3 linked regions of the Macaca fascicularis genome follow. Each later gene encodes a partner of the first gene's protein in a complex. Links are inferred from orthologs where the notes say so. Each region holds a gene or a part of one and is shown in the gene's direction. Other genes may lie near its edges.

Region 1 (4,431 bases):
TGTTACCAACAATAAATGCTCTTAAAGAAGTTTGAAGGAAAGAACAAGTATGGATCAGGCAACACAGCTTAGACAGATTCTTTGTGGCTCCACAGGACAAAACTAGCAGGAACCAGTGAAAGTTACAGGATCGCAAATTTCAGCTAATTACAATGAAGGACTTTTGAAGAATTAGCTGATTTCTGCAGATACTGGAGGAAAGCCTGGATCCCCCAGTCCTGTATTGAATGAACGATTGTTCGAGATGACTGGTTAGTCTAGATTTCCTTTTCTTCTTCCTCTCTTTCTCTCTCTCTCTTTTTTCTGGCTCCCTTTCTTCATCCCTCCCTCCCTTCCTTTCTTCTGCCCCTACTGCTCTAAGAATTTCGTGCAATTGCTTTTAGGTTTTCTGTAGTGATTTATGTTGTTTTTTCGATTTATACCACTGAGGACTGTGGCCACGAGAGGGCAGTAGAGGAAGCTTAACAGCGTACTTGGACAGGAGTAAACTCGTGTGAGCTCTAATCGCGAGCAGGGACTACGCAGACCCTGCGAACTCGCTGGGGTCCAGCTTGCAGGCCCGTTCCGAAAAGCAGTGTTTAGAAGCTGCAGAGTTACTGAGACTGTGTAGCAAGGCATCAGTGGCCTTGAGGGCACCGAGGCATTGTCGTCCAGAATCCTGAAACCTCTCACCTTAGGTTATTAAAATAAGTTATCTTATCGCCACCCCTCTGATTCCCCTGGCAAAAAGATTCTCTGAATTGGATATAGAAAGCTCTTCTCCGGTTCCCAATGCCCTCATCCAAGTCGGGACTTCTCAGATGCCCAGGATCCCTATCAGGGCTGGAAGCTTGAGATTCAATTCAGAGCAAGGTTCATCTTCTCGTTGCAATAATAATAACAACTTCAAGCCTTATTTGACAGCTTGCTGGCTTTTTTTTTTTTTTTTTAATTTACAAGAAGAGGAAATTTGCTCCCACAAATTCCAAGACTCTAGTCTCAACCCCATCAGACAAGCCCCGTTCCTCCCCGCTCACCCCTCACTCAAAGATCAAGAGGGAGGTGTGCAGGATGTGCGCGGTGACAGGTGATGCGAATGGCGGGGGAGTCCCTGTCCCTACTGCCCTCACCCACTCTTCCTGTGTCCTGAGCTCCCCGCTAACCCCAACGCTCGACCTTCTATCTCCACCGGGGGCTAAACCAGCTGGGTTCGCAAGGCCCTACTCGAATTCCCGGGCCCTGGTAGCATTTTCCTTGCCCCCTTGGCTACTTAAGGTGGCCAATGGGTCCGGGCTGAGCTGGGCGCAGGACAGGCAGCGGAGCGGCCTCCGGATGCCAAACCTGCTTCTCCTTTGTTGACAGCTTGCGGAGGAGGAAGTCCGCGCGGGCGGGGGAGGGGGCACGGGGCTGGCTGTGGCGGGCGGTGCCAGCAGCGGGCGCGGCCCCAGCTCGGGCGGCCGCGGCCGGCGGGGAGGGGGTTAACGCGCGCGGCCTCTATGATAATGAGCTGCATGGTAAAATAGGGAGGCCGGCGCTCAGGGCTCCGCCGCCGCCGCCGCCGCCGCCACCGCGGGAGCCAGAGCTGCCGGGCTGAGAGGCATCCGCGCCAGACTGGAGCGGGAGGGCAGCGGAGCGCAGTTGCTGAGAATTTTTCAGCCGAGAGGGCGAGCGATCCGGAGAGAGACCCCGCGAGCTTGGGAACGGTAGGCAGCGCGAGGGCCGCAGCCGGCGGAGCAAACCTCGAAATAGATCTGGAAAGCCAGGCTCCCGGAGGAAATGGGACTGTGAACGAACCGGAGAGCAAGAAGGGAAGGAAGCGCCGGGATTGCTGATGTCAGAGGAGCCCGGAAAGTCGCGCTGGAAAAATCTGAAGAAAGCCGGGGCTCTGCTTCTTCCCCACGAGAGACACCGCCGGCCACCCCCACACGCCCCCTCGGCGCCTCCAGGTGCCCCCCGCGAGCCGGCGACAGCGCCCAGCCGGGCTGCTGCGGGGCGACCGAGGACTGAGGGGCGCGCGGAGCGGAGACCGCGGGGCGACTTCAGGAATACAGATAAGTGGCTGGTGGCTTGACGTGGATTTTAATGAATTTGGACTCCATGTGGATTTGGTCTTCTCCCTGATTCGGAGCTGCGGGCAGGGAGAGGGGCCTCGCGCCGCCCTCAGCAGCCGGCGGCCGAGGCAGACGGAGCAGGGACGGAAGGACAGACCGACGTCGCCGAGCTGGGTAAGCGGCGGCTGGGCCGGACGCTCGGAGTCGGCAGCGCCTTCAGCCTTCTCCCCACAGGCGCGCACACCCGTGGCTGCTTCTCCCGCACCCGCCTCTTTGGGGTCCCGGCCCCAGGCAACCGGGCTTGGCCGCGGCGGGCGAGTCCCCGTGTGGGCTCGGCCACTTTCGCGGGCCGGAGCGCGGCGTGCGCGCGATCTCAGGCTCACTGGAGCCGGTGCCTCCCGCCCAGGGCTTCCCGGCCGGCAGCCAGCAGGCTTCCCGGCCGCGGGCTGAGGGCGGCAGCAGCGCTCCGCGGCGCGCCTCCACCGCGCACCTGCCGGCGCTCTGCGGCTTTGGGGAGCTCGGGGCGGCAAGGCTGTCCCGAGAGCTGGAGCCCAAAGAGGGCCTCGGTGGCACCAGCGAGACAACCCAAAGCCACAGTGGCCAGCGATCGATTTGGGGGCGTTCACTCCAGTGCCAGAGTCCCTGGTGGCCGCCGGCTGTCCCTTCAGATCCGGGACTGGAGATCAGGAGAAGGGGAAAACATCATTTGCGCGGGTTCCATAATGCTCAGGGAGAGATTCCCAGGCACTGAATGGGTCTGAGTGTTTCATCTCCCAGGACTCCCTTTGCAGTGTATCGCCCAGCAGGGGTCCAGCCCCATAGTTTGAGGACCACGCGAGTGCTGGGGGTTGAAATGGGAGTTTGCTTAGGGTCCCAGAGGCTCCTTATGAACCATTTGAGAATATTTCCTTCCATGTGCTCTTTCTTGCCCCACCCCACAAGTTAGGTAGGGATCCTGGAAAATTCTAGCCCTTTTTATCCATCCCACAGGTAGTCTCTATAATACCAATCATGGTCTAGATGCCCAGAGAGTCACCAGAAACTACCATTCTAGGTCCCCGAAAAAGTGTCCACCTGTTTGGAATGACCCTTGCCCTAGTGGGACCTACCTACTCAAACTCAGCTCTGCTCAGGAGGGATAGAAATAATGGGGGAGAGGAAGTTGGATAAGAGATTTGAGGTTCTAGGTCAGCAAGGGTCTAGAAATGAGAGCCCCAGGAGGTGGGCAATGGAAATATGAACAGGATTCCTGTAGGAATCTAAGATGTTAGAGTGACAGTGGCACATCATAGAAGGTACGCAAGGGACATGAAGGCAGGATCAGTTTGAGGGGATTGGGACTGCCAATCACAGCTTGAGGCAGTCACTTGGGGGCCCATTGGCTTGGAGGAACCCACAGAAATTTGGGGTCACATTCATTTCCTTCCATTCACGTGCCCAGTGGACAAGGCTTATGAGCGGCAGGCCAAGATGAATATCTTGGCTGGCCTGGGCTGGACACTTTGAGAGCACGAGTCAGGTTTAGCTCTCCCCTCTCCCCACACAATAGCAGTCTCCCTCCTTTGCTGGGCTTCTTTCCTAGACATTGAAACCTCACTGTTCCCTCTGGGTTGACTTTAGATTCTGGGGCCTTCTACTGAGTGACAGAGCCCCAGGAAGAGATAACCTTGGCTGGAGGAATTCAGCTATTCCTAACTGAAATGCACAACTTTTATGCAATGACCCCAGAAAGCTCCCAGAGTTTCTTGCAGCCCTCTCCCCTCTGACCTCCAGGCAAGAAAAGAGAAGAATTCATTAACTTCCCTCTCTCTTCACAGAGAACCATTTGAACTAATTACCTGGGATCTCTCCTCGGTGGTGTCCTGGGGGCTGAAGGGGCAGTGAGGAGAAAGGGTAGGGAACCAAGGAAACAGAGTGGAATCTGTGAAAATACCCTAGCGAGGTTGTTTTTCATTCCCCTTCTTCCATCCAGCATCACCACCAACCCCTCCTCATCCCGGAACTTGCCCCTGCTGCCACCAGCCAGCATTACCTAAAGGAGTTATTTCCCTCCACTCTGCAGCTGATCCTCTTCAGGGACCCGCTGATAAAGGGAGGGCAATGCAGACTGCCCTCTCTGCTCCCTCACTGTCCTCAGCAAATTGCATTAGGATGGGGGCAAATTGGCTTGCAAAGCAGTTAAATGGAAATGACATTTGGAGCGATGTGCAGGGAAGATGCTGAAGAGCAGCAGTGGTAAAGTACCAGGAGATCTCCTCTACCCAGGGACCATGAGTCTGCCAAGGAAATCCCAGCTGGTTCTTCTTTTTGACAGGGCATAAGGACAGGGGTCCCTTGAAGCCTGGAGCAGGACGGGGGGCTGGCTAGCTTTTCAGCCCAAGTCTAAATGAAGAGTATGGCA
Region 2 (3,647 bases), on another chromosome or scaffold:
AACAAAATGTTAATTAACTTTACCACTATTTTTATACTCTGACTTTATTAAAATATATTAAAGCACTGTAATAGCTCTGGCACATAAAATGGAAACCACGGTATATAACTTGCAGGAGGGTCTGTTTTCTGGTTCCAGCTATGGTGCTTAGGACAACTGGGTCCCCATAGAATGTCGAATGTTCAAGAGATTTCAGAGAAAGCAAATTGCTGGTAGGACTTATCCTAGGTATGCCCTTCACCTTTAGCTTTAAATGGATATTGTTTGGCTTGCAGGTCCCTGCAGTTTTTAGCAGTGCCATTAGCACCCTACCTCCTCATCCTTGAGAAGTCTCCCAGCCCCTCGACATACAACTGGAAAGCTTTCCAATCAAACATTTTGTCGATGAAGGCTTTGTACCTCAGAGGAAGAGTATGGAGAAATGGTAGTCATTGCTTTTCAATGTTAAATTAAAGGTTAAATGAATTTATTACTTCTTACCTTCATCATAGGAGACATTAGTCTTTCCTTGTCGTTCATGGAAGGGATTATTGCTAAGTGGTTTCAGGTGGTTTTGGCTATCTATTATGGGACTTGGCCCAGAAACACACACACATACACACACACACACACACATTCACACCTCCTTCCTCCCCTTTGGAGCCATACTAATGCTCTGCAAATGGAAATAAAGGGCCAGAACCACTTGAGAACATTATTTATATGCATACATTTTTCTTGAGGTTATTACTAGAAAGCTATGGCACAGCTGTTTGAAGTGGAACAGGGAACACTTTAATGATAGACCAACAAAGAGATAAAAAATGTGGTCCTGTCATTTTAGATACCGCCTGACCAAAATTGCAGTGGACACGGCTGCTGGGCCGTATCAGAATCACACTGTGGTTTTTCTGGGATCAGAGAAGGGAATCATCTTGAAGTTTTTGGCCAGGATAGGAAACAGTGGTTTTCTAAATGACAGCCTTTTCCTGGAGGAGATGAGCGTTTACAACCCTGAAAAGTAAGTAGAATATTTGGTTCTTCCTTAGTTATTATTTGTTACGCTGTTATGGTCCCTTTCATTCAGAGAAAATCATGGCCGACTTAGGTTTTATGCATTTTTAGATGACTTTTTAATGCCGTTTGTAAAAATTTTTTAACATCTAAAAAGCATTATTTTCTCCTTGCCAGTGTGTGTGTGTGTGTGTGTGTTTATATAGATACATACATATGTGTGTGTCTACATGTGTGCATGAGCATAAGGATTTGTTTGTTTCACTGCCAATTAGATCAGATTAAGAGATTGCCTTGTGGGCTGGGAAGTGGGATGTGAGGGTGGTGCTGAGAAAAAGAGAAGAGTCTATTAATGATATTATCTTGCCTGATGAAATTAGATGCAGCTATGATGGAGTCGAAGACAAAAGGATCATGGGCATGCAGCTGGACAGAGCAAGCAGCTCTCTGTATGTTGCATTCTCTACCTGTGTGATAAAGGTTCCCCTTGGCCGGTGTGAACGACATGGGAAGTGTAAAAAGTATGTATTTTGCCTCACTGACAATTAGAAAGTCCGTGGTGGCTAGGAAACAGTCCTACGTAGCTCATGGTCATCCTCTTCCTGCAGAACCTGTATTGCCTCCAGAGACCCGTATTGTGGGTGGATAAAGGAAGGTGGTGCCTGTACCCATTTATCACCCAATAGCAGGTAAGGAGCCTGAGGAGTGGGAGAGGGTACAGTGGCTTCCAGCCAAGGTGTATTCTAGATGTAAGATTTGCTCTGCTCTCATACTCCACCACACAGCTTTCTGTGCACAAACACCAGCAACGGGACTGTCAGCCTTTCTCCTTCCCTTTCCCATTTCATGGAGCCTTACCACATCACATGTGGCAGATTTCCAATTGATTAATCATCCTCGAACTGATTAAAAACACAGAATGGAAACACAGTGGGCTTCAATGTATTCCCTAGAGAGAGAGACAAGAAGGTGCCTGCCTTGATCATCATGGTGGGAGAAAAGCAGAGAAAAGGAGCAATAGGATACCAATTAGATTAGTGAGTGCTTTGTTCAGTCATAGCAAAACTGGCTCTTGTAATTGACTGTGCAGGGCTGAGAAGAAATTGCAGAACATTTGTTAAGCAATGCAATTGTACTGCAAGCATGGTGTATACATCCAATAAACCTTTTCCTGCGCTGAAGAGCGGTTGACCCTGTTACTCTTTAGGCAGTCAATCAATTCTTGGCAGTTCTCCAACAGATCAGCTAGATGAGGCCAGTCCACCATGCCTGTGATTTGGGTGTTTAAAATTGTTACCCTGGCTTTAAATGCTTAGATGGCATTGGCTAAGAGGTTTCTTTTTATGCTTTTACTTCAGTGGATGTGAAATCCAAAATACATTTGCAAAAGTATTCAATGTTTATCTTTGATGGGTTGTGGCAAGCAATTTAGGAGGTTAGACAGCACACATCTTCCTTCAACACAGCCATTTCTGCAACCTCCCCAGATCCAAAGGGGGAACAGAACCATCTTTACATCACTCTGTGCCTCCTTTCCTATTTCAGAATAGCTAAACAAACAGAGCAAGGGCGTATCTTATGACCACCACCTGCATAATTTGAGGACAAGTATTCTCATAAACAGAGCTGATGATAACTATAAAATCTGACCTGGAAATTTGACTAATGCAAAAGTCTGAGTCACTGTATATTATTAGAACAGCTTTGCAAGTAGCATTATTGACATGCTGTAATATTAGAGGTTTGTACCTTTTCATTGGACCCCTCAAGGTGGAGGACAAAGGTTCACCAAGCATGGTGAGGGGAGCTATGAAATGACCTTTGTCCTTTCTGTGTTCAACATGTGACCAAAGGCTATAAGACTGATATTTTAAAAATTATTTTTAAGTCAATATAAGAACTCCAAAATGGTTTCCTTAAGGTTTGCATTCATATTTCAATGATGCTGGTATTGCTCAAAACATGGGGCACGCCCTTTGGAGAGTGGGCTCCAGGGCATCATGAATATTGGCTGTCATTACCACTAGAAATCTTCATCTTTTGAGGGATTTGATTTTTAATGTGGCAAAAAAGATTAGAAACAAAACATGGTGGATTATTAGATCAAGCTGTGACTTTCAAAATAGTTTTCCTATATGGCTCGTAAATAAGCTCTGAAAGCAGTTGCAAAATAAGAGTTTCAATTATATTATGGGAATATGTACAAAGTGCCCCTAAAGGAAGGTGACTCTGGTGTGCTTATTTTAAAAATCAAAATAGCTTTTATTAAAATTGGTTTTCTTAATGTCATGTCGCTTGTACAGCCCAGTGGTGACCTAGTAGACTTGGAAGAAACATGAGCCTGTCAAAGAGAATGACAGTAATACTCCCAAGGACTGGGGCAGGGCTGGGGGTAAACAAATAGCCAAGTGGTCTCCACAAAATGCACCACCGGCTCCTGTCCCCTCTCTAGCCACTTGGACCTTTGAACACTTTTGGGTAGATAAATGTCTAGGCAAAAAAACCTTGCCTAGGAAGGCAAGGGTAGGAGTGAAAGAGTAGAGAGAAAAAGACTTTTCTTTTTAATTTATAGACTTCTATATTGTTTCTATGAAGAGTGTATTTTAACATCTAAACTTCTTAAATGTTTAAGAAATGCTCAGAGAATTAGAGTA
Region 3 (3,647 bases), on another chromosome or scaffold:
CCAGTCTAAGGAACAAAGTCAAGCACCTAGTGATTGAGAAAAACAATATAACTTATATTGTCTTCTTTTTTAATTTATGGGAAATGATTTCTGTGATGCATGTAGCTTTACGCATTTTTGATGTGCACTTCATCTTTCATTTCCATTTGACCTGGTTTTCCTGTAATAAAATTCTGTAGATTTATAAATTCATGCTGAGAGCAAAGAATGCCATTCTCTTTCCACAGAGAATCTATTAGATGCAGTGTTAAAATCTATATATACCATTACTGAAAATTTGTGATTGATAGGCTTATATATTTCACTGCTTTCATACCTGTTTCTCTTGTATAGTTTATGCACCGAATTTTTATTGCTCAAAATTAAGCATCAGTAAATGTGGCAGCATTTCAGGCTGAGGTGCTCCAGTATGAAATCCATCATAAAATGTGACAATGAGAATCTATGCTGAACAATAAGGCAGTCCAGAGACTAGTTTATTTGGTTTATTTGGCTTCACTTGAGCATTTTTGAAGTGAAGGCTCAAAACGAGTTAGCTCACCTTTCCCAGAATGTGAGAATGTGGGTTACCATACATGATACCCACACCTGTGTGGTGGGTTATTTTTCACCCAACATTTAGGTAATTAGAATTAATGCCATGTGGCTATTTACCTTTTTTTTTTTTCTGCCCCTTTGCTTTGATCTGATTTTTAAGAATGAACAACCTTACTTGGAGAAGTAAAGCAGAATTATTTCTGCTTCACCAAATATACTTTGTTCTCTGTTGATTTGGATCTCAAGAGCAGAGAGAACTCAAAATCACTTAGATTTATGGGCAGATAAAACAACAACAACAAAAGGTTTGGCTTTAAGCCAATCAAAGACAATCCCCACTGATCAATGACATAGACCAGGCTTATCATCAAAAAACAACACAAGGGGTCGAACAGCATCTTTCAGTCACTTTCCACTTAGAACTTGCTACTTAATGTGATTACACTTCTTGGGGGATAATTAAGTCTAGCAGAAGCTCCCAGGGGACCATGTTAACATCAATTGAGGGGATTTAATGTTTTTAATGCTAGAAGACCTTTTCCTTAGGAAGAAACTTCGGGGCTGGGCGAAGAGTCCTCTCAGATCTCAGTTGGCTTTCTGCCTGAGTCAACCTTCCTGAGATCAAAGAGTGTTTTTTTTGTGGAGTGTTGCAGTCAGGGCCACACGAAGGACTTACGGGGACCTTTTAAAGTTCCCCTTAAAAAGTTAGGGAATGTTTAATAACCGGTAATTTATATATAAAGCTAGATTACCTAAGAGGTTGTCAGGAAAGATCTACTAAAATCTTACTTTTATTGCAGATAAATGTGGCGATACTATAAAAATTGAAAGCCCCGGATACCTTACATCTCCTGGTTATCCTCATTCTTATCACCCAAGTGAAAAATGTGAATGGCTGATTCAGGCTCCGGACCCATACCAGAGAATTATGATCAACTTCAACCCTCACTTCGATTTGGAGGACAGAGATTGCAAGTAAGTGGGGATGTGTTTGAATAGGGCACCACAGCACCATCTAGTGGTCACGCCTGTCTACGGGGGGAAGTCAGCGTGTACAACGTAGATTATAAATGGATCCAGGAGGGATTCCAATCTCAGCCAGATTATATGTCAATGGTATAGAAATTGAATTACGTTAAGTGATTTCTGAGTTCCCCAAACCAGGAAGATTATAGTTACATGTGTAATCTCTCATACTCCTTCCTGTTAGCACTTTTGGTTTGGGAACTCTTTTGTGAAGAAATGTATACACTATGTATGTTTCTTTTTGCTTTCTTTTTTTTTTTTTTTTTTTTTCCCTGGAGAGGGGAAGAACTAGAAACTCAAAAATCTCACTTGCATTTTTATGAAATGCAGTGGATCTCTAATATACATCACATCCACAGATAGTGGGATTGGAGATCTCACTATTTGAGATATATTGAACTGAGGCACATCTTATGATTAAGAACTGCATCTTACTAAGTTTGACATGGGAAAAGCAAATTGTCATTGAATAATGACAATTATTCTTACTAAGTTTGACATGGAAACAGCAAATTGTCATTGAATAATAATAAGTCCTACATGATAAGCCAGATGAGGGGTTTTGTAAATGGTAGATTACTGATTAAAATACTTTTATGGAAAATGCTAGAAAATAATTGGTAAGACACGATGAATACAATGGGAACTCAAATACACATCAGTGTTTCATCCATCTGCTTAGTCTTGCTATGTCTTTCTATTGTTAAGTTTCTAAACATTAACTTATGCCAGATTTTGTTATTATGAAGACATTCTCACTACGAGACAGTCGAAATTATATTTCCTCACTTTATGTGAAAGAACTGGTATGTGGATATTGCTTTCCACAGTATTGAAATTATGTTTTTACCTTGCACGTAGCAGTCCACTCGGATACATATTTGCTAGTCTCTCTTGACACCCAACAGACCCCCTGTCTTTGTCTTTTACACGTTATCCCATTCTGACACACTGAAAGTGGTGTAGTTTCCAGAGACTTGAACCTGAATATCCATCTTTTATTAAGTTTGTACCTATATAAATAGTTTTATCAAAGAAAACTAATCAATTTAAATCTCAATTCTAAAGTGTTTCTCAGGGACTGAGAGGTTTTTGCAAGTTTTAAAGTGGGTCAGTTTGGTGTAACTGTGTATGGTATCTATAGACTACTGCTACCACTGGACCTAAATATTATTTTGCAAGTATATTCATTGTTAAAGACAGTCTATTTGAACACACGTTTCTTTTGGGAAAGAACAGAGTAATATCAAAATCTTCCTACCTGTAGAAAGCGCTCAACAACCTGTTGAGTTGGTGTAGTAAACTAGCTTTTCATGGTCAGACAGATGAGGGCATCTGGTTCATTCAACATTTTGGTGCCTAGAGAATTAGTATAAATCCATAGGCTGATGATCAGTTTCCAAATAATCAATGTATACTACAGTGCAATAAAATTACACCAATTCCAATTTAATCTTTGCTTTGTGATTCAGAAGTGCTCCAGGGCATTATATTGACTTTTTAATTGCGTATGGAAGTTGCCATTAATAGTGTTACAGTGACTGCTTGGAAACAAAGAGTTCATTGTATTTATTTATTTATTTTGCTAATATTCTTTATGGTGGTTTTTACAGTGTCAATCACCTACACAATCTGGATACTTGTTTTCTATTATATTTCATATACTTCATTATTATTAGTAGTAGTAGTAGTAGTAGTAGTAGTATTTGCTTTTTGACCATGTTTAAACTGCTATAGGAGAACTTCTGGTAAAACTTACTCAAGTAATAACATTATTCCAAAAAAATAAAGTGCTGTTAGAATGCAATAAACTGACGTTTACTAATTTCTAATCTGGAAATCATGACCATCAATACATGTAACATAATACTTAAAGAATTCAGAATAATCACTAGTTATTGGCACTGGTGTGGTGGTAAATGTTTAACAGCTGGCTCTTTGGAGAAGACAAGTCAAGTCCTGATCTGTATGTAGCACATGCCAATTTCTGTGGTGTGAATACTCTCATCATAGCCAATTTCAAACTACCCATGTGATGTCACTGCCCAGACTAGCAAAGAAATGTGCACAGTTGGTTCTTATGA

Evidence for each region.
Region 2: the proteins of PLXNA2 (region 1) and SEMA6A are in contact, whole or in part, in a crystal structure (PDB 3AL8), measured with the Mus musculus proteins. The link is inferred for Macaca fascicularis from reciprocal best matches to the Homo sapiens genes PLXNA2 and SEMA6A. Residues at the interface, in NP_032908.2 of Mus musculus: Ala93, Cys94, Tyr95, Pro96, Lys155, Gln192, Asp193, Tyr194, Asp220, Phe221, Val222, Pro229, Ser230, Asp231, Leu386, Lys389, Val391, Thr394, Lys395, Ala396, Pro397, Val398, Leu407, Asp408, Ile409, Asn410, Gln411; in NP_061214.2 of Mus musculus: Arg108, Met109, Lys110, Gly111, Met162, Ala163, Thr188, Phe190, Leu191, Ile193, Tyr198, Thr206, Arg208, His212, Asp213, Ser214, Glu219, Gln266, Arg267, Glu270, Lys271, Lys393.
Region 3: the proteins of PLXNA2 (region 1) and NRP1 are in contact, whole or in part, in a crystal structure (PDB 4GZA), measured with the Mus musculus proteins. The link is inferred for Macaca fascicularis from reciprocal best matches to the Homo sapiens genes PLXNA2 and NRP1. Residues at the interface, in NP_032908.2 of Mus musculus: Asp273, Leu274, Phe275, Glu306, Lys341, Gly342, Gln343, Lys344, Gln345, His348, Pro350; in NP_032763.2 of Mus musculus: Glu78, Arg80, Asp81, Lys83, Tyr84, Asp126, Tyr127, Glu128, Thr129.

The regions. Positions count from the first base shown.
Region 1 is NC_088375.1:66,055,628-66,060,058, reverse strand, and holds the start of PLXNA2 (plexin-A2), read left to right. Parts: upstream 1-1,524; 5' UTR 1,525-2,204; intron 2,205-4,431. UniProt on the Homo sapiens protein: Coreceptor for SEMA3A and SEMA6A. Necessary for signaling by SEMA6A and class 3 semaphorins and subsequent remodeling of the cytoskeleton. Plays a role in axon guidance, invasive growth and cell migration.
Region 2 is NC_088380.1:123,158,536-123,162,182, reverse strand, and holds part of SEMA6A (semaphorin-6A), read left to right. Parts: intron 1-823; coding exon 824-1,000; intron 1,001-1,373; coding exon 1,374-1,514; intron 1,515-1,601; coding exon 1,602-1,682; intron 1,683-3,647. UniProt on the Homo sapiens protein: Cell surface receptor for PLXNA2 that plays an important role in cell-cell signaling. Required for normal granule cell migration in the developing cerebellum.
Region 3 is NC_088383.1:34,082,225-34,085,871, reverse strand, and holds part of NRP1 (neuropilin-1), read left to right. Parts: intron 1-1,337; coding exon 1,338-1,512; intron 1,513-3,647. UniProt on the Homo sapiens protein: Cell-surface receptor involved in the development of the cardiovascular system, in angiogenesis, in the formation of certain neuronal circuits and in organogenesis outside the nervous system. Mediates the chemorepulsant activity of semaphorins.